2 linked regions of the Lonchura striata genome follow. The protein of the gene in region 2 purifies or fractionates together with the protein of the main gene of each other region. This does not show direct contact. Links are inferred from orthologs where the notes say so. Each region holds a gene or a part of one and is shown on either strand. Other genes may lie near its edges. The genes, in order: cyclic AMP-dependent transcription factor ATF-7 and FOSL2.

Region 1 (12,067 bases), on a different chromosome or scaffold from region 2:
GACAGGGACATTGTCACCGTCCTGTCACCCACAGGGACAGGGGCATTGTCACCGTCCTGTCACCCACAGGGGCAGGGACAGGGGCATTGTCACCATCCTGTCACCCACAGGGACAGGGACAGGGACAGGGACATTGTCACCATCCTGTCACCCACAGGGACAGGGACAGGGGCATTGTCACCATCCTGTCACCCACAGGGACAGGGACAGGGACAGGGACATTGTCACCATCCTGTCACCCACAGGGACAGGGACAGGGGCATTGTCACCATCCTGTCACCCACAGGGACAGGGACAGGGACAGGGACACTGTCACCATCCTGTCACCCACAGGGACAGGGACAGGGACAGGGACATTGTCACCGTCCTGTCACCCACAGGGACAGGGACATTGTCACCGTCCTGTCACCCACAGGGACAGGGACAGGGACACTGTCACCATCCTGTCACCCACAGGGACAGGGACAGGGACAGGGACATTGTCACCGTCCTGTCACCCACAGGGACAGGGACAGGGACATTGTCACCGTCCTGTCACCCACAGGGACAGGGACAGGGACAGGGACATTGTCACCGTCCTGTCACCCACAGGGACAGGGACAGGGGCATTGTCACCGTCCTGTCACCCACAGGGGCAGGGACAGGGACACTGTCACCATCCTGTCACCCACAGGGACAGGGACAGGGACATTGTCACCGTCCTGCCACCACAGGGACAGGGACATTGTCACCATCCTGTCACCCACAGGGACAGGAACAGGGGCACTGTCACCATCCTGTCACCCACAGGGACAGGAACAGGGGCACTGTCACCATCCTGTCACCCACAGGGACAGGGACAGGGACATTGTCACCGTCCTCCCACCACAGGGACAGGGACAGGGGCATTGTCACCGTCCTGTCACCTCAAAGCAAAGCCCTGACCTCGGCCAGAGCACCCGGACAGGGATTCGGGAGCGTCTGGGCCCTCTTTGGTGGCAGTTGGTGGCTCCAGGACCTCCGGAGCCAAAGGGAAGTCCCTGAGGCTGGAGCGGCCTCCAGAGCTCCGAGCAGCCTCCAGGAGCCCATGGCCACCTCCAGGAGCTCCAAATCACCTCCAGGGAGCTCATGGCCACCTCCAGGAGCCCATGGTCACCTCCAGGAGCCCGTGGCCACCTCCAGGAGCTCCAAATCACCTCCAGGGAGCTCATGGCCACCTCCAGGAGCCCGTGGCCACCTCCAGGAGCTCCAAATCACCCCCAGGAGCCCATGGCCACCTCCAGGGAGCTCGTGGCCACCTCCAGGAGCCCGTGGCCACCTCCAGGAGCTCCAAATCACCTCCAGGAGCCCATGGCCACCTCCAGAGCTCCGAATCACCCCCAGGAGCCCGTGGCCACCTCCAGGGAGCTCGTGGCCACCTCCAGGAGCCCGTGGCCACCTCCAGGAGCCCATGGCCACCTCCAGAGCTCCAAATCACCCCCAGGAGCCCATGGCCACCTCCAGGGAGCTCGTGGCCACCTCCAGGAGCCCGTGGCCACCTCCAGGAGCTCCAAATCACCTCCAGGAGCCCATGGCCACCTCCAGAGCTCCAAATCACCCCCAGGAGCCCGTGGCCACCTCCAGGGAGCTCGTGGCCACCTCCAGGAGCCCGTGGCCACCTCCAGGAGCTCCAAATCACCTCCAGGAGCTCCAAATCACCTCCAGGAGCCCGTGGCCACATCCAGGAGCCTGTGGCCGCCTCCAGGAGCTCGTGGCCACCTCCAGGAGCTCCAAATCACCTCCAGGAGCTCCAAATCACCTCCAGGAGCCCCAAGCCCTGTGAGACCCGGAGCTCTGCCCGCCCCAGGGGCACGACCTGTGCCCGAGCCCGGCACAAACGCAGCGCCAGGCCCAAACCCCGGCAGGAATCCCTTCCCGTTGCCGCCAGGGCGGAGGCGCGGGCAGCAGCAGCAGCTCCGGGGCGATCCATCCCGGCCGTGCCGAGATCTACGGCGGCGCGGGGAAATAACTCAGCTTTACGGGAGCAAGGGGAGGCCTCGGAGAGCCGCTGCTCCGCGCCCGGCCCCTCATTACCCCGCGGCCGCCGCGGCCTCGGAGCGCGCAGTATTTTATACCTCGGAAATGCCTGAGCGACCCAGAAACTGGAGTCCCATTTCCTGAAATTATTTCGCCACTTCAGAGCCCTTGTTTCAATGAAAGCTGCTGCAAACGAGGCACGAGAGCCCCGAGCTGAGCTGGAACATATTTTCCCTGCCGATGTGTGTGGATGGTTTGAAGGGAAGAGCAAAGTCAGGGCTGCGAGGAGCGCGGGGTGAGAGCGAGCGCCTCGACAAAACCCTGCCCGTGAACCCAACAATGGGGCCAGGGAGCCCCACAGTGCCCTCCCCGTGCCAAAAACCTCCTGTGGCACCTGGCATTATCCCATCCCACCTTCGTTCAGCTTTCGGGGGGTTTTGGGGTGCCGCTGTTTGATGCACGAGCCCTAAAAATCTGAGGGGACAGAGAAATGCTCCAGGGTCTGCAGAAATGGATTGCAGAAAGGGATTGCAGAAAAAGGAGTGCAGAGAAAGGAGTGCAGAGAGCCCAGGTGCTGCAGCCACGGTTTGAGCTGTGCTTTGTGGGCAGCAGAGCCCCCATTCCCGACAGGAGCTCCCAGAACTCCAAGTGAAGCTTCACGAGATGGAGCCACCAGCATCCTAAAGGGATCCTGCGGGTTTTGGGAACAGGGAGATGCCAAAAAAACGGGAAAACAAAGGAAAGGTGAGGGACAGCCCCAGGAAAAGGGGGAGCATCCATTGGGAATTCCTCAGCACCTCCAGTGTTTCCTCCCTGGCTGCAGTTTGGGAAATCTGGCCTCGGTTCACAGAGCCAGGAATGGGAAAAAAAAGAGGGGAAAGAAAAAGAAGTGGGGGAAAAAAGAAGGGGGGAAAAAGAAGGGGGGGGAAAAGAAGGGGGAAGAACTAAAAAGAAAGAAAAAGAAGGCCCCAAGAAAGTCCGAGGATAAATAAACCCAAGCAGAGGCGCAGCAGCATCACGTGGGACGCGGCAGAAAACGAGTCCAAAGCCAAAGGCAAGGCAGAGCTCCTTCCCTGACACCCAGAACGGCGCCGTGGGCACGGGCCTGGCCCGGGGACCCTTCCAGCCCGGGGATCCTTCCAGCCCGGGGATCCTTCCAGCCCGGGATCCTTCCAGCCCGGGATCCTTCCAGCCCGGGGATCCTTCCAGCCCGGGGACCCTTCCAGCCCGGGATCCTTCCAGCCCGGGATCCTTCCAGCCCGGGGATCCTTCCAGCCCAGGACCCTTCCAGCCCAGGGACCCTTCCAGCCCGGGGACCCTTCCAGCCTGGGGACCCTTCCAGCCCAGGGACCCTTCCAGCCCGGGGATCCTTCCAGCCCGGGATCCTTCCAGCCCGGGGATCCTTCCAGCCCGGGGACCCTTCCAGCCCGGGGATCCTTCCAGCCCGGGACCCTTCCAGCCTGGGGACCCTTCCAGCCTGGGGACCCTTCCAGCCCGGGGACCCTTCCAGCCCGGGACCCTTCCAGCCCGGGACCCTTCCAGCCCAGGGACCCTTCCAGCCCTGGCCCGGAGCGGCCCCAGCCCGGCCTCAGCACGGCCTGCCTTGCCCGGGATGCTGCCAGCAGCTCCCAGGGTTATTCTTTCCTCTCCTCCCCAGGACCAGCAGCTCCCAGGGTTATTCCTTTCCCTCCTCAGGACCAGCAGCTCCCAGAGTTATTCCCCAGGACTTTGAGCAGCTCCCAGGGTTATTCCCCAGGATGTTCCAGCAGCTCCTGGGGTTATTCCTTTCCCTCCTCAGGACCAGCAGCTCCCAGGGTTATTCCCCAGGATTCTGAGCAGCTCCCAGAGTTATTCCCCAGGACTTTGAGCAGCTCCCAGGGTTATTCCCTCTCCTCCTAAGGACCAGCAGCTCCCAGGGTTATTCCCCAAGACGTTCCAGCAGCTCCCAGAGTTATTCCCCAGGACTTTGAGCAGCTCTCAGGGTTATTCCCTCTCCTCCTAAGGACCAGCAGCTCCCAGGGTTATTCCCCAGGACCAGCAGCTCCCAGGGTTATTCCCCAGGACTTTGAGCAGCTCCCAGGGTTATTCCCCAGGCCGTTCCCCCCCTCAGCAGGGACACCGCAGCCCCAGCCGGTTCCTCTCTCGGGTTCCCCATTTCCCAGCACGAGGGGGATTCCCACCCCACATCCCCCCGGAATCCCCCCTGCGCCGGCTCGGGGGTTTGGAGGGAAGGGGAACAGCGGCAGGGATCAGGGATCGGGAGTTGCCTCCCAGCAGGGACCCCCGGCCCTGCCCCGAGCAGGGAGGGTCCCGCGCCCGCCGGGTGGGCAGCCCCGAATTCTCCTGCTCCCAGAGATCCCAGGGCTCTGCTGCACAGCCCAGGGATGCAGGAAAACACAGACAAATCCCGGGAAAAGGCTGAAATTCCCAGTGGAACAACCCGCGGGTGTCCCACGGCTCAGGAGCACCCCGAAACCAGGAACTTTTCCACAGGAACGGGGCGGGTTTGGGGCTCCCAGAGCGACTGCGCCCCGAAACCCACCCGGGCACAGCAGCAGGGCCAAAACCCCGTAGGGAGCGGAGCCAGAGAGACCCTGGCACAGAGAGACCCCTCCCCACCACAGAGACCCCTCCCCACCACAGAGACCCCTCCCCAGCACAGAGACCCCGGCACAGAGACCCCTGTCACAGAGACCCCTCCTCACCTCAGAGACCCCAGCACAGAGACCCCGGCACAGAGACCCCTCCCCACCACAGAGACCCCAGCACAGAGACCCCTCCCCACCACAGAGACCCCTCCCCACCATAGAGACCCCGGCACAGAGACCCCCAGCACAGAGACCCCTCCTCACCTCAGAGACCCCAGCACAGAGACCCCTGTCACAGAGACCCCTCCCCACCACAGAGACCCCAGCACAGAGACCCCTCCCCAGCACACAGACCCCAGCACAGAGACCCCAGCACAGAGACCCCTGTCACAGAGACCCCTCCTCACCTCAGAGACCCCCAGCACAGAGGCTCCCCATGGAATCCCCCTCCCTTGAACCCCCCACCCAAAACCCCTGCAGGCGCTGCCCCTGTTTGCACCCCGAGACCCCCAGAGCCCCCCAGCCTGCAGCTCCCTGCAGAGCCCCAGTCCCCCGGAACCCCGGGGCTCCCCTGAGCCCCCAGACCCATTCCTGGCTCCTCTCAGCCCCCAGCCCCATTTCGGGGTCCTATCAGCCCTGAACTTCCCCAGCCCCACTCCTGGCTCCCCTCAGCCCCCAGCCCCATTTCGGGGTCCTATCAGCCCTGAACTCCCCCAGCCCCACTCCTGGCTCCCCTCACCCCCAGCCCCACTCCGGTTCCCCTCACCCCCAGCCCCATTTCGGGGTCCTGTCAGCCCTGAACTCCCCCCGCCCCACTCCTGGCTCTCCCAACCCCACTCCTGGCTCCCCTCACCCCCCGCCCCACTCCGGTTCCCCTCACCCCCAACCCCATTTCGGGGTCCCCCCGCCCCACTCCGGCTCCCCTCAGCCCCAGCCCCATTTCGGGGTCCTGTCACCCCTGAACTCCCCCAGCCCCACTCCGGTTCCCCTCACCCCCCGCCCCACTCCGGTTCCCCTCACCCCCAGCCCCATTCCCGGCTCCCCCCGCCCCATTTCGGGCTCCCCTCACCCCCAGCCCCATTCCGGGCTCCCCCCGCCCCGCCCGGGCCCCTCGCCGCCGCGCGGCCCCGCCCCGTGGGCGGGGCTTTCCCGCCTAGCGGCGCCCCCCTCTGCCGCCATTGGCCGGCGCTCCCGCCGCTCAGGGGCGGCGCGCGCCGCGATTGGCCGAGGCGCGCCGCCACTCAGCGCGGGGGCGGGGCGGGCGGAGCCACGGCCGCACGAAAACTCGGGGAGAGTTGTGGGGGGAGGGGCCGGCCGCGGCTCCCGCCGCCCCCGGGGCCGCCCCGCCGCCGCCGCCGCCGCCACCGCCGCCCCCGGGGCCGCCCCGCCCCGCCGCCGCCGTTACCTGAGGGAGCCGGGCCGGGCCCGCGCGCCGCCGCCGCCGCTCGCGCTGGGGCCGCCGCCGCCCCCCCGCCCCGCGCGCCCGGCTCTCGCGAGAGCCGCGCGCAGCTAACGGCGCCGCGGCCAATGGGGCGCCGCGGGGGCGGGGCCTCGGCGGCGAGGGGCGGGGCTGCCGCGCGGGGTGGGCGTGGTCAGAGACAGGCCCCGCCCCGGGGCCCCGCGGGGAGCGCGACACGTGCGGGCAGGGGCGGGACCGGGACAGGCCAGGGATAGACCGGGATAGAGCCGGGACAGAGCCGGGACAGGCCGGGATAGAGCCGGGATAAACCGGGCTAGAGCCGGGATAGAGCCGGGATAGACCGGGATAAACCGGGATAGAGCAGGATAGACCGGGCTAGAGCGGGATAGACCGGGATAGAGCCGGGACAGACCGGGATAGAGCCGGGACAGACCGGGATAGAGCCGGGATAAACCGGGATAGAGCGGGATAGACCGGGATAGAGCCGGGACAGACCGGGATAGAGCCGGGACAGACCGGGATAGAGCCGGGATAAACCGGGATAGAGCGGGATAGACCGGGATAGAGCCGGGACAGACCGGGATAGAGCCGGGATAAACCGGGATAGAGCGGGATAGACCGGGATAGAGCCGGGACAGACCGGGATAGACCGGGATAGAGCCGGGATAGAGCGGGATAGAGCGGGATAGAGCCGGGATAGAGCGGGATAGAGCCGGGATAGGCCGGGATAGAGCCGGGACAGAGCCGGGACAGGCCAGGGATAGACCGGGATAGAACCGGGACAGGCCAGGGATAGAACCGGGATAAACCGGGATAGAGCGGGATAGACCGGGATAGAGCCGGGACAGACCGGGATAGACCGGGATAGAGCGGGATAGACCGGGATAGAACCGGGACAGACCGGGATAGAGCGGGATAGACCGGGATAGAGCCGGGATAGACCGGGATAGAGCCGGGACAGAGCCGGGATAGACCAGGATAGAGCCGGGATAGAGCCGGGATAGACCGGGATAGAGCCGGGACAGAGCCGGGATAGACCGGGATAGAGCTGGGATAGAGCCGGGACAGACCAGGATAGAGCCGGGATAGAGCCGGGATAGACCGGGATAGAGCCGGGATAGACCGGGACAGAGCCGGGACAGAGCCGGGATAGACCAGGATAGAGCGGGATAGAGCCGGGATAAACCGGGATAGAGCGGGATAGAGCCGGGATAGAGCCGGGATAAACCGGGATAGAGCGGGATAGAGCCGGGATAGAGCGGGATAGAGCCGGGATAGACCCGGGACAGAGCCGGGACAGGCGAGGGATAGACCGGGATAGAGCCGGGATAAACCGGGATAGAGCGGGATAGAGCCGGGATAGAGCCGGGATAAACCGGGATAGAGCCGGGATAAACCGGGATAGAGCGGGATAGACCGGGCTAGAGCGGGATAGAGCGGGGATAGACCAGGATAGAGCGGGATAGACCCGGGATAGAGCCGGGATAGACCCGGGACAGAGCCGGGATAGAGCAGGATAGACCGGGATAGAGCGGGATAGACCGGGATAGACCCGGGACAGAGCCGGGATAAACCAGGATAGAGCCGGGATAGAGCCGGGATAGACCGGGATAAACCGGGATAGACCGGGATAGAGCCGGGATAGACCGGGATAGAGCCGGGATAAACCGGGATAGAGCGGGATAGAGCCGGGACAGAGCCGGGATAGAACCGGGATAGAGCGGGATAGAGCCGGGACAGAGCCGGGATACACCGGGATAGAGCGGGATAGACCCGGGACAGGCCAGGGATAGACTGGGACAGAGCCGGGATAGAGCCAGGACAGGCCATGGATAGACCAGGACAGAGCCGGGACAGAGCCGGGATAGACCCGGGATAGACCCGGGATAGAGCGCGATAGACCCGGGACAGAGCCGGGACAGGCCAGGGACAGAGCCGGGATAGAGCCGGGACAGAGCTGGGACAGAGCCGGGATAGACCCGGGATAGACCTGGGACAGAGCCGGGACAGGCCAGGGATAGACCGGGATAGACCCAGGATAAACCGGAATAGAGCGGGATAGGCACGGGAGAGACCGGGACGGACCCGGGACAGGCTGGGACAGACCCAGGGAAGCCCCGGGGGTCTCTCAGTGCCCCCCCCGTCTCAGCCGCTCCGTGTGCGCATGCGCGGCGGGGCCGTGCGCCCCCTGCCGGACGGGAGGACCCGGGCCGGGGGGCGGGGCCGGGGGCGGGGCCGCGCGCGCCCTCTGGCGGGAACGCGGAGCAGCGCACGTGAGCGCGCCTGGGGCGGGGGGGGTGGCACCGTGTCCCCAGGTGTCCCCAAAACGTCCCCAGGGTGTCCCCAAGATGTCCCCAGGGTGTCCCCGTGTCCCCAGGTGTCCCCAAAATGTCCCCAGGTGTCCCCAAGATGTCCCCAGGGTGTCCCCAGGGTGTCCCCGTGTCCCCAAGATGTCCCCAAGTGTCCCCAGGTGTCCCCAAGATGTCCCCAGGGTGTCCCCAGGGTGTCCCCGTGTCCCCAAGATGTCCCCAAGTGTCCCCAAGATGTCTCCAGGTGTCCCCAAGGTGTCCCCAAGGTGTCCCCACCGACACTGCCACTCCCCCTTGGGGACACTGCCACCCCCCTTGGGGACACTGCCACCCCCTTTGGGGACACTGCCACCCCCCCTTGGGGACACTGCCACCCCCCTTGGGGACACTGCCACCCCCCCCTTGGGGACACTGCCACCCCCCCTGGGGACACTGCCACCCCCCCTGGGGACACTGCCACCCCCTTTGGGGACACTGCCACCCCCCCTGGGGACACTGCCACCCCCCTTGGGGACACTGTCACCCCCTTTGGGACACTGCCACCCCCTTGGGGACACTGCCACCCCCACCCTGGGGACACTGCCACCCCCATTTGGGACACTGCCACCCCCCCTGGGGACACTGCCACCCCCCCTTGGGGACACTGTCACCCCCTTTGGGACACTGCCACCCCCCTTTGGGACACTGCCACCCCCTTGGGGACACTGCCACCCCCTGTCCCCTCCCCGGCGGCGCTGCTGCGGCGGAGCCGTCCCGGCCGTTAATTAAAGCAGGGCGGTAATTAACGGCCGTTAACGGGAGCCCGGGGCCGGGGGGCTCCGGCCCAGGGGGGGACCCCCAAACCGCGGCCCCGGGACCCCCGGGCCCCCAAATCCCCCCAGCCCCGGTGCCGCCCCCTCCCCTTTTCCAGTTTCTGTTTCTCCTTTTCTCCTTCCTTTGTTTCCTTCCCCATTTCGGCCGCGGCTCCGCCCCGAGACCCCCGGAGCCCCCCAAGACCCCCGAGACCCCCGGAACCCGGAGCCCCCCAAGACCCCCGGGACCCCCGGAACCCCGGAGCCCCCCAAGACCCCCGGGACCCTGGAGCCCCCCAAGACCCCCGGAGCCCCCCAAGACCCCCGGAACCCCGGAGCCCCCCAAGACCCCCGGGACCCCCGAACCCCGGAGCCCCCCAAGACCCCCGGGACCCCCGAACCCCGGAGCCCCCCGGGACCCCCGAGCCCCCCGGAGCCCGGAGCCCCCTCCCCAGTTTGGGCGGCCTGGGGGAAAATGGGGAGCACTGGGAGGGGCTGGAGGGGACGGGGATGGGGACAGGGATTTGGGGGTTCTCTCCCAGGATTTGGGGGTTCGGGGACAGGATTTGGGGTTCTCTCCCAGGATTTGGGGTTCTCTCCCAGGATTTGGGGGTTCGGGGACAGGATTTGGGGTTCTCTCCCAGGATTTGGGGTTCGGGGACAGGATTTGGGGTTCTCTCCCAGGATTTGGGGTTCGGGGACAGGATTTGGGGTTCTCTCCCAGGATTTGGGGTTCGGGGACAGGATTTGGGGGTTCGGGGACAGGATTTGGGGTTCTCTCCCAGGATTTGGGGTTCTCTCCCAGGATTTGGGGTTCGGGGACAGGATTTGGGGTTCTCTCCCAGGATTTGGGGGTTCGGGGCCGGGGCCGGGGCCGGGGCTCCCTCCCCCCGCACTGCGACGGGAAAATCCAATCCCGCAGCGCGAGCGGGGAAAGATAAAAAATAAAACCGGGAATAAAAGCCGGGAGCGAGGCGGGGACAGCGGGAAAGGTCACCCGGAGCTTGGGGACACGAGGGGACACGAGGGGACACGAGGGGACAGTCGCAGCCCCGGGCTGACCCCGGCCCTGCCGTGCCTCAGTTTCCCCATCCCAGCTCCCTGCCGGATGTCCCGGGCGAAAATCGGGGGGAAAAAAAGGGAATTTGGACCTGGGAGAGGGGAATTTGGGGCTGGAAAAGGGGAATTTGGGTCCCCAGTGTCCCCAAATCCCCCAACCCCCCAGTGCCCCCCGTGCTGCTCGGGGCTGTCCCCGGGTGTCCCCGGGTGTCCCCAGGTGTCCCCAGGTGTCCCCGGGTGTCCCCAGGTGTCCCCAGGTGTCCCCGGGTGTCCCCAGGTGTCCCCGGGTGTCCCCAGGTGTCCCCGGGTGTCCTCGGGTGTCCCCAGGTGTCCCCGGGTGTCCCATGGGTGTCCCATGGGTGTCCCCAGGTGTCCCCAGGTGTCCCCAGGTGTCCCCGGGTGTCCTCGGGTGTCCCCAGGTGTCCCCGGGTGTCCCATGGGTGTCCCCAGGTGTCCCCAGGTGTCCCCAGGTGTCCCCGGGTGTCCCCAGGTGTCCCCGGGTGTCCCCGGCTGTCCCCAGGGTGTCCCCAGGTGTCCCCGGGTGTCCCATGGGTGTCCCATGGGTGTCCCCAGGTGTCCCCGGGTGTCCCCGGCTGTCCCCAGGGTGTCCCCAGGTGTCCCCGGGTGTCCCATGGGTGTCCCATGGGTGTCCCCAGGTGTCCCCAGGTGTCCCCGGGTGTCCCCAGGTGTCCTCGGGTGTCCCCGTGTGTCCCCGGGTGTCCCCAGGTGTCCCCGGGTGTCCCCAGGTGTCCCCGGGTGTCCCCGGGTGTCCCCAGGTGTCCCCGGCTGTCCCCCCAGGTGTCCCCGGCTGTCCCCGTGTCCCCGTGTCCCGTTTGTCCCGCGGGGAGCGCAGCCGCGGGAAGGTTTCCATGGTAACGGGCGGAAAAAAAACCCAAAAAAAACAGAAATATGGAAAAAATACAAAAATCCCAAAAAAGCCCCAAAAATCCCCAAAAGCCCGAAGAGCCGCGCGGGGCGGCGGCGCCATTTCCATCGGCACGGGAGAGAAAAAGGAGCAAAAGGAATTGCGGAGGGGGAGGGGAGGGGAGGGGAGAGGGGGGAGGGGAGGGGGGGAGGGGAGGGGGGGAGGGGCGCCCCTCGCCCCCCTCGGGCCCTCCCTGGCACGGGCCGGGCACGGGGAAACTGAGGCAGGGGAAGGAGAGGCAGCCCCGGGAGGAAGGACGGGCCCAGGGAGGGAGAAATCCCTTTTTCCCCCTTTTTTTCCCCCCTTTTTTCCCCCTTTTTTCCCTTTCTCCCCCCTTTTTTCCCCCTTTTTTCCCCTCCTTTTTTCCCCTTTTTCCCCCCTTTTCCCCCTTATTTTCCCCTTTTTTCTCCATTTCCCCCCCTTTTTCCCTATTTTCCCTTTTTTCACCCTTTCCATTTCCCCCCCATTTTCGCCCATTTCCCCCTTTTTTTCTCTTTTCCCTGCCTTCCCCCTTCTTTCCCCTTTTCCCCCCACCTTTTCCTCTTTTTCCCTCCTTCCTTCCTTCCTTCCCACACCTCAAACCCCAAAAATCCCCCCAGCACCCAAATTTTCCCCAAAAAACCCCAATTTTCCCCTGAAAATTCCAATTTCCACCCTCAAAATCCCACTTTTTCCCCCCCCAAAAATCACGGTTTTCCCCCCCAAAATCCCAATTTTCTCCCCCAAACCCCAATTTCTGTCCTGAAATCCCGATTTCCCCCCAAAATCCCGATTTTTCTGCCTCCTCTCCCCTCTCCCGAGCAGGAGGTGAAGCCTCCGCCGAGCCCGGCCCGGCCTCCGATCCATCATTTTTATTTCCTGCTCTAAGTGACAAATTGTTCCGGATTTTACACCGATCCCTCCAGGCACGGGGGGCTGCGCATGGCATTTTTTCCTTTTTTTTTTTTTTTTTCCTTTTCCCTTTTTTTTTTTTTTTTTCG
Region 2 (12,209 bases):
AACACAGCCTCAGCTCATCCCACATTCCAGAGTCCATGTCGCCTCCCCCAATTAGTTAAAGAGGCTCCAAGACACAAACTGTCAACACTATAGAATCAGAATTTATGGGTGCAAATCCCCTCCTTTGCTCTGCATGGTGTAGGCTGTGACCACACGGCACAGAAGAGGATGCATTGGTGCCTCCATAAGCAGAACACAAGAGGACCTTAACCTCACAGAAGGGAGGAAGTGCGAGACCAGTTGAACCACAAGCTCAACTCAAGGGATGTGAGCCCTACTTCCAGATCCGCAAGTGGCTTCTACCACCACCATTACCTATCTGTGCCACCCTCCCTTTCATATCCAAAAAGCAGAGAAGAAATGTCCTGTCTTCCTTGCAGGGACACTACAAAGCTATGACTACAAAACATCCAGAGAGCTTCTGGTGCTTTGCAATAGAGATACCACTGGCATTCCAAAGCTAACCTTTGCCTCCAAACACTCAATGTGCTAAAAATTCCCAACAGAGGTTGTGAGTCAGATCCACCATCAAATCAACCATGTACAAGCATCTGACACAAAAATCAGGCTCCAAATATTGACTAAGCAAGTACTCCATTTCCAACCACGCCTGTATTCAACCTAGGGCCCTTCTGTAACACTAGGAGAGGTTTTTGAACAGCAAAGGGGAGCTGCTCAGTTCAGCCACATCCCTCTGCAGCTTCACAATGCTTGCTTGCAGACCTGGGGGAAAGAGACTAGTTCCTCCCTGTGCCATGCCCCATCTCTGTCACCAGCTTCCCTTCTAATAATTCAAAATATCTTAGAAATAAAAAAATAAAAAAAATCCCCCAAACCTGTACTCTGTACTTTCCAAAAGCAGTATTTTTCCTGGATAACTAATTAAGGGACACACTGCTGTGGCAGGTGGAGTCTTCAGACACAGTGTGCTCAGTCTAACACCAGGTTTAACAAGCATTGCTTCCCTGACTGATCAGGCTTTCCACACATACCTCACTTTCCCTGCTAGGACACTGCACCGGATCAGCTCTGCTGTGCCAAAATGCTGCTGAGCCCCACATTCTGCCCAGCAGCCATCAGCTCCGACCTTGGGATGCTGCTGGTTGCAGTGGCATGCCCTGAATTCCCTGTCACCTCCCCAGCACAGCCCCTTTGAGCACCAGCCTCCTCACACAGAAGTGCCAGAACTTCCCCCAAACAGCAGCCCCATCTTTGCTCTCCTCGCCCCTCCTCCTCTCAGAGAGCTTCAATGCCCCTGCCAGCCTGACAGCACTGCCTGCCTTCACCCACCTCCCCACTTCTTCTCTTTCCAGACCCTCTCCTGCCTCCTCCTCTCACAGGACATGCACAGCTGTCCTCTCCTGACCCACGAGAAGCTCCTGGAAGCAGGTCTCTGCCAGCTCTCAGCTCTTCTTCTCTACAAGGAATTCAGTACGCTACAGAAAGATGAGGCGATAGGGAGATTGCAGGGCTACACACGCAGCACGCGCTCAGCCGCCAACCCACCGCTCTCCTCCTGACCCCAGCAAACACACATGAAGGTATCATTAAAAAACCCCAACAACTAAACAGCAAACAGAAAGAGTCCTGTTATTAAGTGTGCCAAGAACTGAGGTCAGTCTCTGCTCTGCCTTAAAAATATGGGGTTGGATGAGAGCCTTCCTTCTCAGATCCACAGTCGGGGGAGGCTCCAGCGAGTCCTGCCACAAGCAGGGACAGCCTATGTTAGCAGCTCACAACTTAGCAGCACAGACAGCATGGGGACATTTCAAGCTTTGGCTTTGTGTTTCCTTGCTCCACCTTAAAGTTTCCGTAGAGCACCCCGATGTGTTCTTTGGTCCACTGAGAAGCACTAGAAACCCGTCAAGAAGTTGGTATAATGGCTGGGGGAAAAGAAGAATCAAACCCAACAACAAAGCGACTGAGAAAAATTCTAGAGCATCTTCAACATTACTCAGTTGTCAAATAGGGTGTATGTGATAGATCTTACAATAAATACAAGACCCTTGATGGGTCTCCTATGTTGAGCAGCTTATCAAAGGAAAACTGGACACAATGCTATAATATCTCAGGGGAAACTTGACCACTCTGAAAGAGTACACAAACTCTACCCATTAAAGTCTATGTTTACCACATGGCAAGTCAGTGATTAGGAAAATAGCATGACACGCAACTTAAAAGAAAAATGTTCCAGTGCTGTGCTCTATGGGAAAAAATAATTAAAAACCATCAAAGTTTTGGCTCAGAGACATAGTTTCCATTTAAACATGTGACTGATGCATCTTTTCTTGCTTTTGGGAGAAAAAAAAAGAGAACACAATAAAGAAAAAATTTCAGCAATGCATATTTTCTGTAGTGATAAAACTGCAGATCTCCATAGACCAGAATCAGCAGAACAGCCCAACTGCTAGGGTAAAGGCAACGCTTACATTTGATCCTAATCTACAACATCTGTAAGGATCAAGGGAAAGACGGAGCACAAGGCCTTAAGAAATCTCCCGGATTCTTAAAGAAAACATTTATGTTCTCGCTAAGCCAACGTCCTGCTCAAAGTCCTGTTTCAGATAGTAACCCTAGAAACTGGGCTCTGGTCCCCGTATCAGCACGCACGCCAGCTGCCCGGGGAAGACGTGGAGCCCCAGAAAAAGGGGAAAACCCAGTTATTGCTCAGCCTGTGACAGCTCAAATGTGAAGCGGTTGATGGAGTTTCTCGACCTCCCGCAGCAAGTGCTTGAATCCAGAGCAGCTGTTAAATCACGGCAGGAAAGGGAGAGTGAGAATTTTGCAGTTTGCCGGGCGTTTCCAGCTTCTCAGTCCCCTTTCCCGCTCCCCCAGCCTGTCCTAGCGTTTACTGTAAACCAGGGAATAAGCTTTAGCTGAGCTAGAATCCCTGGAAACCCAGGTCCGCAGCCCGCAGAGGGCACCAGCGAGATGCGTTTGGAGCAGGCGGGGAGCGGCAGCGAGTCATTTCTGGTAAAACTTCTTTAATGTGAGGAATGTCACGGGCTGGTACGGCTGGCAGAGTTTAAGACTGGACTTTTTTCCTTCTTTTTTTTTTTCTCTTTTAATTATCCTATGACTCCCTGATGTGAAGGCTACACTGCGCTCACAATGCCAGTTCGCTCATACAAGCCACAGAAGAAATAATATTATGAGAAAAAGAAAAAAAGGGGGGGGGGGGGGGGGTGAGAAGCCCAAATCTGAAAAGGCAAAAAAAGAGTGAGGCTGGGCCAGCTGATGTAAACAAGTTATGAAATAACCCAGGTTTGTATAACTGGCCCGATTGTGTAATGCCTTCCCCAGAAGTGGTAGATTTAGTCGATCTAGGCATATAAGTAATTTCGAGGTATTTTCTTAGGAAAATGAAAGGGAAAAAAACCCAAACCACAAGACTGGGCTTTCAGGTCCGTGAATTCACGCCGCTTCCACAGGAAATATTCCCCATTCTCGAAGCGCCGCCCGGTAGTGGGGCTTGAGCGGGGAGCGGGGCCGGGGAGCGCGGGGAACGCTCCGGCGAGCCCCGGGAAACTCCCGCTCGGAAAAAGCCAGGGCCGGCCGGAGAGCGGCCGGCGGAGCCAAGGGGCGGGCGGGCAGAGGGCTGAGCACGGCGGCCGCGGGGTGCCAGCGTGGGCCCCGTGGCAAAGAGTGTCAGCGCCTCGGAGACAAACTTTAACGGGGGAGAAGCGGGCAGAGACAACCGCAGGCGCTGGAAAGACCCAGAGCTCACTTCCAGCTATCCTGCCGTGTTGCACGGCGGCTGCAACAGCTCCGTGAATAACTCGGGCGGCACCTCCCAAAGTCCCAGCGAAGCCGCCCAAAGTGCTGCGGGCGAGCCCCGGGCACCACCCGAGGCAGCCGCGATGAACGTGGACAGCGAGAAGCTCCCAATGAGAACAAAAGCAGGAAGGAGGAAGAGTTCGGTGCGCCCCTGTATTCGCGTTACCGACCTCGCAGAGAAGTCGCCCGCGGTAGCCCTTTGATTGCCGAGCGGGTCCCGGCCCGGCGCTGCGGCGGGTGCCCGGGCTACAGGCGGGGGCTCGGCTACGACACCCGGCGACCCCGCTGCACCCGGGGCCGCGCCAGCGGAGCCTGCCCGCCGGGCGCTCGTCACCGCACGTCCCCGCTCGGCCAGGCCGTGGCTCCCACAACACCGACAGGCGGGGAACTCCGCTCAGCGTCCCTCCGGACGCGTCGCGGCACCGCTCCGGGGCGGGAGGGAAAGCGGCGGCGCCCCGCGGAGGGCGGCGGCACGGAGCGGCGGCTGCGGGCAGCCCCGCGCCCCTGCGGCCGCCGCCTCTCCGCCGGGCGCCCGTGCCTGCACCGCGGAGGAAGCGCCGGCCGCTCCCCGGGCGTGGCGGTGAACTCCCGTCCCGGGAGCGCTCGGAGCAGCCCTCGGAGGGACCGGGGGAGAGGGGCAGTGCCCGGCCCTACCTGCTGTGCTGCGCCGCTCGAGTAGGTCTCGGGGTGTCCCGGGGAGCCGCTGCTGCCTCTGGAGGAGGTGTCGAAGTTCCCGGGGTAGTCCTGGTACATGGTCCGAGGTCGGGCCGGGGGAGCCGCGTCCCCGCCTTCCCACACCGACACCGCCGCTCCCTCGCCGTCTCCCCGCCCCCTTCTCCCTCCCGACCTCGTCGGCGGTTGCCTTTCGCCTCCCAACGCTCGCCGCGGAGAGGGAAAAAAAAAATAATAAAAACGGCTTTGGAGACGAGGAAGAAAGTGGGGGGAAAAGGTAAAAAATTTAAAAAAATTAAAAAAAAATAAAAAGGAAAAAATTTAAAATAAAGAGAAAATAAAAATAATAACAATGATGATAAAAGTGGCTCAGTTGGCAGCGAGCGCCTGCGGGACGGGACGGGACGGCAGGACTCGGCGGCGCGGCGGGAGCAGAGCCGTGCGCGCAAGCGGGCGCTCGCCGATGTCCTCTCTCCGCAATGCCCGGCGAAACTCGCCTCGCCGGCGGAGCGGCTCCGGGCCCGGGGGCTGCAGGCGGAGCGGTTCTCCTCCGCCCCAACAACCTCCTCCTCCTCCTCCACCACCACCACCACACACCGGCCGCCCCTTTTCCCGGCGCGGGGTGACTCAGCCGGGTCTTGCGCCCCGCGGCTCGGCGGCGCTGCGAGCGGGAGCTCCGCGCGCCCGCGGTGACTCAGAGCAATGGCATCGCCCCGGCCGCGCTCGCTTATTATCCGCCCGCCGCCGCCGCCGCACCATGTGCACTCGCACACGTCAAACCCGCGGCGCACCTCGGCAGCGCGGAGCCTCCCACCTGCCGCCGCGGCGGGGGAGGCGGGCCGGCCGCGGGGGGACGGCGCCCGCCCCGGCCGCGCCCGCCGCGCCGCCCGCCCCGCCGCGCCCGCCCCTGCCGGGCCCGCGGTCCGGGCGGCGGGGCAGGGCGGGCGCGGCGGCGGGGGCAGCGCGGCGCCCGGTTCCCGGCAGGCCCCGCCCTCCCCCGCCCCGCTTGGTGCCGTCCGCTGTCGCACGTTGCCAAAAATGGTCATTTGCGTCGCACGACGCGAGCGCGGGTTTCCTTGCCGCGGATGACGCGCTGCGAGAGGGATTCCCTGCCCGGCCGCCGGGATTTAAAGGCACAGGCGCTCCGCTGGCGCGGGGAGGCTGCGGGGAACAGCGCGGGTCCGACCCCGTAGACCGGCCCGACCCGCCTCGGTGTCTCGGGGGGCTTTTGATCCAGCCCTTCTCCCTGCAGGAGGGTGGTCGGCACCAGAGTTGCCCCAGGGCTCGATCCGTTTCTCAGAGCATCAATAAACCGAGCGTTGGACTCGTCTAGTTTTTATAGCATCGTTAAACTACTTCATTTATTTATTTTATTTATTTATATATATTTTATTTTTATTACTTTACATTTTTAATATTTTACATTTCTATTATTTTGCATTTTCGTGGTTATTACTTCTATAATTTTAATTTCTTTTCATTAACTACATTTTCCTTTTGTTTACTAATATTGTGCACTAATATTTTTAAATTTCTCTTTAATTTTAAACTATTCTTCCTATTTACTTTTCATGTAAATTTTTATTATTTTCATTCGTATTCAAATTTGATAACTATTCTTACCTTTCCTCCCTCCCCCCCCACCCCCCTTATTTTATTTTTTAATTATTTAATTTTTACTTTTTAAGTGGACACCTCCATCCTCCTAGGATCTGCAGAGCCACTCTAGGTCTCCAAACCAGAGTATGTCACAGGGACATCAGGTGACAGCCCCGGGCTTCCCTGCAGCAGAAACCCGTGGGACAAGGACTGTCCCAGCCTGCCGCGGCTGGCTCTGGCATTGCCAGGTCACTGACGAGCACAGGCTGAAAGGTGGCAGAAGCAGATAGAGCAGAGCCAGCACACACAGAACGCGGGCTCTGTGCTGATCTGCAGCGAACACAGCAGATTGTTCAAATGCCACTCCTAGACACAAAGTGTCTCATTTCCACCCTCCCTGGAGGATTTGCCCAGCACTGGGCAAGTCCTTTTTGCTAGTAGGGAGGGAGAAGTCATCTAAGTTCAAGCTATAAAATCCCATTTAAGCTGTCTCACGGACAAGGTATTTTCCCACAGGAGCCCATCTAAAAGCAGCGGGCTTTCCTCCACTCACACTGTGCTCCTTGGAAGGCAGTAGCAGCACCCATCTCAACCTTGGAGCCTTCAGGGAACTCTGAAATGAAACACCCCATGGGGGTTAAGTCCTCAGCACTTAGTTCTTTTTTAGCACTGACTTAGGAATTTGGGACTGAAATTCCTGCCGATGCGGTTTAGTTTTCACACCTTCATTATTCAGGCAATTGAAATTGTCCCTCCAAAGTAGCTGGCCTATTTCAGGCAGCACCTGACTTTGGAGGAGGTGGGGAAAGGGCTGTAAAAATATACCCATGTTTCCAACTCGAACTGCACTAGGAGTGAGGGGTGGGGAGGGGGAGAAGTGCTCTAGCAGGCACAGTGAGGCCGTGATGTGTTTTCCCCTTGGGTGGCAGGTGATCTTCACATGCTGCTTTCTGCTGGAAAGAGAATTACTTTGAGATGTGCGAGGAATCAGGCTGCAGTTGTCAAGAGATGAAGAGAGAAAGGGTAAAACAAACATCAAAATAAATAAACTTAACAAAAGCTGTGGCTGGCTTTTGGCTGGTCATCACCCTCTGCTCTGCCTCCCCCTCAGGTGAAGGATGCTGCTGGCTCTGAGGCTTGCCAGATTTTAGGAACCACTGCCTGAGCTCATCAATCCTGGCTCTAGTCCTGTTTCACATCAGGCTGGTGGGCTTGTAGAATCCAGTCTGCTGATCAGCAAGAAATGCAAGAAAAGTATTTGGTGTAGGGAAAGAGTGATGGCCAGAAACACGGAAGCAAGATGGGGGTGCTGGAACATTAGTGTTGCAGCATTTTGCAAGAGGAAAAGAGAGGTGTTTTTCATCCCTCCTCCTAGAATTGTTTCTATACTTTGTCTTCAGCAATTCATTAACCCTAAACTACCTGCCCTCCTCATGTTTCAGCTCATGCTCATTTTGAACGTTGTTTTCAAACCTTATCCCAACATAATTTTGGCACATCTATCCTGTCCTGCAAAAATTTGCATTAGACCTAGTCTGGGAACAGCTCGTTCGAAATGACATTCAAGGGCTGTTTTAATATTTGGCTGCAGCTAATGTGGATGCAATTAGTTGACACTTTTAAATCCTCAGGTAAAAGCCCTGTAAGAAATGCAGGAAGCTGAATTCACACCTGAGGCCAAGCCCTCAGCTCCTGTAGGGTGATGAACCTCCCTGCCGCAGCTGGACTGGCACCACCTTGCCTTCCGAAAGCTCCTGACCCACACCCATCATGTGATGCTGAAGCTTTATTGTGTATTTACATTGACTTCACTGGAGTTTCTTCTGCCCTGGGAGCACAAAACCCTGCTGGCTAAGACAGGCTCACACGTACAGAAGGAATTGGTACATCCCATTGGTAAAAAATATTCCATCCGATTGAGTCCCCTCATTCCCATATCAGCCCCTTTGTAATACTTTTTATTGTTTTGGATTGAAATAACTCAGACTAGCCTGGCTCTCAGTACCCCAGACACATGCATTTTTAATACTCATCCAGACCAAGCTGCATTGTGCAATAGGCTCCCTGCTTCCAAAAAACAAGAGATAACATGTACGCCTGCCTAGTCCATTCTTGCCTGAACCAAAGACGAATTAAGACCAGCCCAGGTTCCAGGGCAGGAGAGGATCATTGTAAGGCAAATGAGACCTTGGCTCCTCACGCTTCTCGATTTCGGCAGCAATTAGGAGCCTGAAACCCAGACCTGGGAATGCTTTTCAGAGTGTTTTTTACGGGAATAGTGGATAAGGGCACTTCACAGCAGCTTAGACTTGGCCCTCGGCAAGCACGTGGCGGGTTGTAAGCATCTCTTCTCCAGCATCCCCAGCACTGCTGGGCTGCCCCAGCCACCCCGTGTCACCTGCCTGAAGGCAAGATCATTGATTTTCAATTTAAAATATATGCAGCCACGATTCTCCTTCTCCTTGCTCTTCTTCCAACCCTTAAGACATCTCCCGTGAAGAAGCCTGCAGTAATCACTTCACCTAAAATGTGTATTGCCACCCGTGTCAGAGAGCTCGGATGTGCTGGGGCTGTTCCTGCAGTGGGGCAGGGAAGCTTCTGGACCGAGGGGTGGCTGCAGGAGAGTCGGGACTGAAGCACACTGGTGGGGTGTGGGGAGCTGCAGGACAACCTAAGACAAATCATACTCTTCTCCCCGTACAATTCCTCATGTCCTGTTTTAAAATTCACTCCCACCTTCTTGCAAATCGGTGCTTTCTCCGTCACCGTTCATTTTTACACAAGTGACTCTTTTGTTTCCTGAGACCTTTTCCTCGAGCTTTCTGCAGAAGCACATATCCAGGGCTCTCCAGCCCTTCCTGACAATTCTGCTTTCATCTGTGCGTTTAGTCTGCTTTCATATTGTCTCTTTAAGTGCTAAGAGCAAGTGTTTTGATGTTAACTCCTGGGAACGAGCTCTTAAGCTACCACCTCATGCTTAATTACAGTTATTTATTAAGTACTCCAGCATATCCAAGGGAGAATGGAGGTTTTCTCCTTCAAAGGGCTTCTGCATGTGGTTCCTCAAACACTTCTTGTCAAGGACAGAGCTTTTCCTATCCATGTCCTCTTGGACCATGGAGCTCTCTCCCCTGCTGATTACCCCAGGCACGGGGCCATGGGCCTCCCCACAGCAGCACAGCGTATCTTTAGGGCAGGGAGGCACTCCCCTCAATTGTTCTCAGGTGACTGCAGCCTCACTGTCCCTGTGTTCAAGCAGACAGCTGGCTCTGCCCCACATTCCCAGCAGGATGAGTGCTGCCATACTGTCCAGTTCAGGGTAATGACATCAGTGCTGCTACCCTTAACTGCTGCCGGGTGATGTGATGGGCATCATTTAACTCTTTTCCAGTCCTAGTTCAAATAAAAGCCTAGGACAAAGCCAGATGCTGTGAGGCTCTTCCCTTTTCTGAAGCAGGGCTGGGTGACAGGGCCTGGGATACAGATGGGGAAGCAGCAAGGCAGTCCTGCAGCAGGATGGGCACCAGACGCCCCTAGCACTGCTTAGTCAGGCTGGTGGCATGGCCATGGTGTGGGAGCAGCAGCCAGAGGTCCCTGCTGGCTCCCACAGGGTCAGCTCTGCAGAGATCCCAGACACCAACAAGGCCAAACTACTTCAAAGCAGAAATGGCTTCAGCCTTCTTAACATGTTCCAGGACAAAGATCCTACCAACCCACAAAGTAGCAGGTGCAAGACACGGATTGGGAACAAAGGCTCATTAGGGGTGACCACAACGCACAGTTTACGGCATTTTGCTGGTGTAGGGAAGCAGAAAACAGCTTCAGGAGATCCCTGCCTTTGAATGAACAAGCTTGCTCCTAGCCCCAGAGTACATGGGATGTGAGAGATGGGAACAGAGATCCCACGAGCCTAGCTCTAAGACACCTTTTGGCACAAGATGAACAGTCTTATCTTGATACCTGTGTTTGTTTGCCCAGCTCCAAACCTGTTTCAGCAGCGTGAGAGTCTGCCTTGCCCCGCTCCTGCCTCCTGCAGAGACACCACCTCTGGTACCAGAAGCCAAACAGTCCAACGAGGCTCATCCACTCTGCAGCCCCCAAAAGATCCCAGGCAGTGCTGCCAGCACAGACCCAGCAGGAGGTCTTTTATGGGATGGGAGCCCTGCCCCGTGGAGCTTGAACATGGATTTTTCCCATTGTCCTGTCTGGTAAGAGACTTGAACGTTTTCTTGCTGTATTTTGTGAACGGAGCCTCACAATCACATTTTCTTGTGTCAGAGCAGTGGAAAGGACTGCAAAACTACCTTAGGAGTAGAAAATCCCACCCCTGCCAGTGCCCCCCACAGCTCAGCAGGACAGATGCTGAGGACTTCTCACCTGAAGTGCCCATGCTCAGGTGCAAACACGAGCAGGCCACAGCCATGCTGCGGAGGGGCACCCAGCCTGTGCAATTGCAGCCTGGGATGGTGGGATGGGCTCTGGTCACCATCCATGTTTCCAGAGTTTCCGAGGTTATTCCCTGAAACACGTGGTGCAGGCCAAGTGGATCACCCAGCTGAGCTTATCAGTCAGCTCATTGTTCCTGCCTGAGTGATTCAGCCCCACCAAAGTGCTCCCTGGCAGCACAGCACCCAGGAGGAGGATGAGGAGGAGGAGGGAGGTGTGCAGTGCACACAGATAGTTCTCCTGATAGTGGGAGGCAGATAAGCACAAGGAACTTAATGGCTGAGCTCAGATCTAGTTGAGGCAGTTTGACCTTTCTGCTGGTAAGCCTGCCTTCAGCTGACATGACAGGCTTTGACACAAGCACTCAGGGGAATTTGTGGCCAATAAGTGAGACTTACTTTCCCCACCAAGTAATATTGATTAGCTCAGTGCCTGCAGACACAGCTTGAGGCAGTGGCGGAGGTTTCAGGGAGGGAGCAGAAGAGACAGCTGAAACGCAAAGGTAGAATTATTTGTTGACTGAACCAGCTAAGTGTCCTTTCTGTCTCCTACCACAATGACCTGTGCACTGCTGAAAACCTTGGAAGAAGGGAGAGTCTTTCCAGTCTGGGCAGTGGCACTGGAGCTGGCTGGTGTCCCCATATGGCCTGGCTCATCTCCATCCCATGGGTGTCCGTGCAATCCAGTGCCTCCTTCCATCTTCCTGAGCCACTTTGTCCTCTGGCATCCCTGGAAAAGAAACATCCATTAGGAGCACTGATGGTTTCTTAGAATGTGGGCATTTAGAACTGAAAACAGACCAAGGATACATCTGAGCACCTGGGAGGGGCTTCTTCCTCTCTTGCCGTCCAGGAGAGGCTCTGGTCCAGCAATCACTCTGTAAGGGTGGCACAGGACTGTGACACCAACCCCAGGTGTGTGCAGCCTCGCTCCGGGAAGCAGTGTGGTGGCATTCCCCTTTGGCTGAGGTCCCCATCCCCTGCAGACCGGTGGTCACTGCTCTCCGTGAGCCTGGTGATTCCAAGCTGGCTACAGTGTTATAAGTCACTATGGAGCATGGAGTGGTTGGATTTCAGCTTCTTGCTGCCTTGGACATCTTGTTGGTGACATCACGAAGCTGAAACGGTGTTCACACTGCAGAAAGTGGCTGCCTGGAGTCTGGTAACACTTAAGTACCAGCAGTACTCACCAGATTCTCTGGGACATGCGGTGGAGATTGCTATTATGGGGTGTTACCTTTAAAGTCCTAGTCTAAACACCTTCTGTAATCAACTCCTGGCTTGGTCAGGGATGCAGAATGGGGTTTTTGAAAGCAGCAGAATGTCAGGAAAATCCACAAAAGCCAGAGGTGAAAAGCTGCAAACACCAGCGGTTTATGTCTAAAATGGAGACAGAGTCCTTCAACTTTATTCGACTAAAGGGAGAGGCCACCGGGGTACACACCCGCGGGGTTTTCTCCCTCGAGGTTTTGGAGGGTGCAGTCTCCATTTATCCTAACTCCGGGCCACATGTTGCCCTCTTCCTTTCCCCACTGGCTGAGGTACTAGGAAGGTACAGCCTTCCCGAACCACCTAGCACATATTCCCCCCTTGAACTACTATTTTATCCCAAAATTCAGGAGTTCAGCCTTGTGCAGACCCTTGTTTGTTTCAGGAACCAAGCTGTTCGGTCCCGGTAAGGAGCCTGCTGCCCAAAGTCAGTAGAGACATTAAGAC

What was found.
Region 1: the proteins of FOSL2 (region 2) and cyclic AMP-dependent transcription factor ATF-7 purify together in Homo sapiens (affinity purification with mass spectrometry; 3 studies listed by BioGRID and IntAct, counting the BioPlex papers as one, with this or other methods). This does not show direct contact. The link is inferred for Lonchura striata from reciprocal best matches to the Homo sapiens genes FOSL2 and ATF7.

What each region holds. Positions count from the first base shown.
Region 1 is NC_134629.1:8,198,549-8,210,615, forward strand, and holds the start of cyclic AMP-dependent transcription factor ATF-7, read right to left. Parts: upstream 6,042-12,067; 5' UTR 5,989-6,041; intron 1-5,988. UniProt on the Homo sapiens protein: Stress-responsive chromatin regulator that plays a role in various biological processes including innate immunological memory, adipocyte differentiation or telomerase regulation.
Region 2 is NC_134605.1:6,833,835-6,846,043, reverse strand, and holds the start of FOSL2 (fos-related antigen 2), read right to left. Parts: upstream 5,100-12,209; 5' UTR 4,531-5,099; coding exon 4,432-4,530; intron 1-4,431.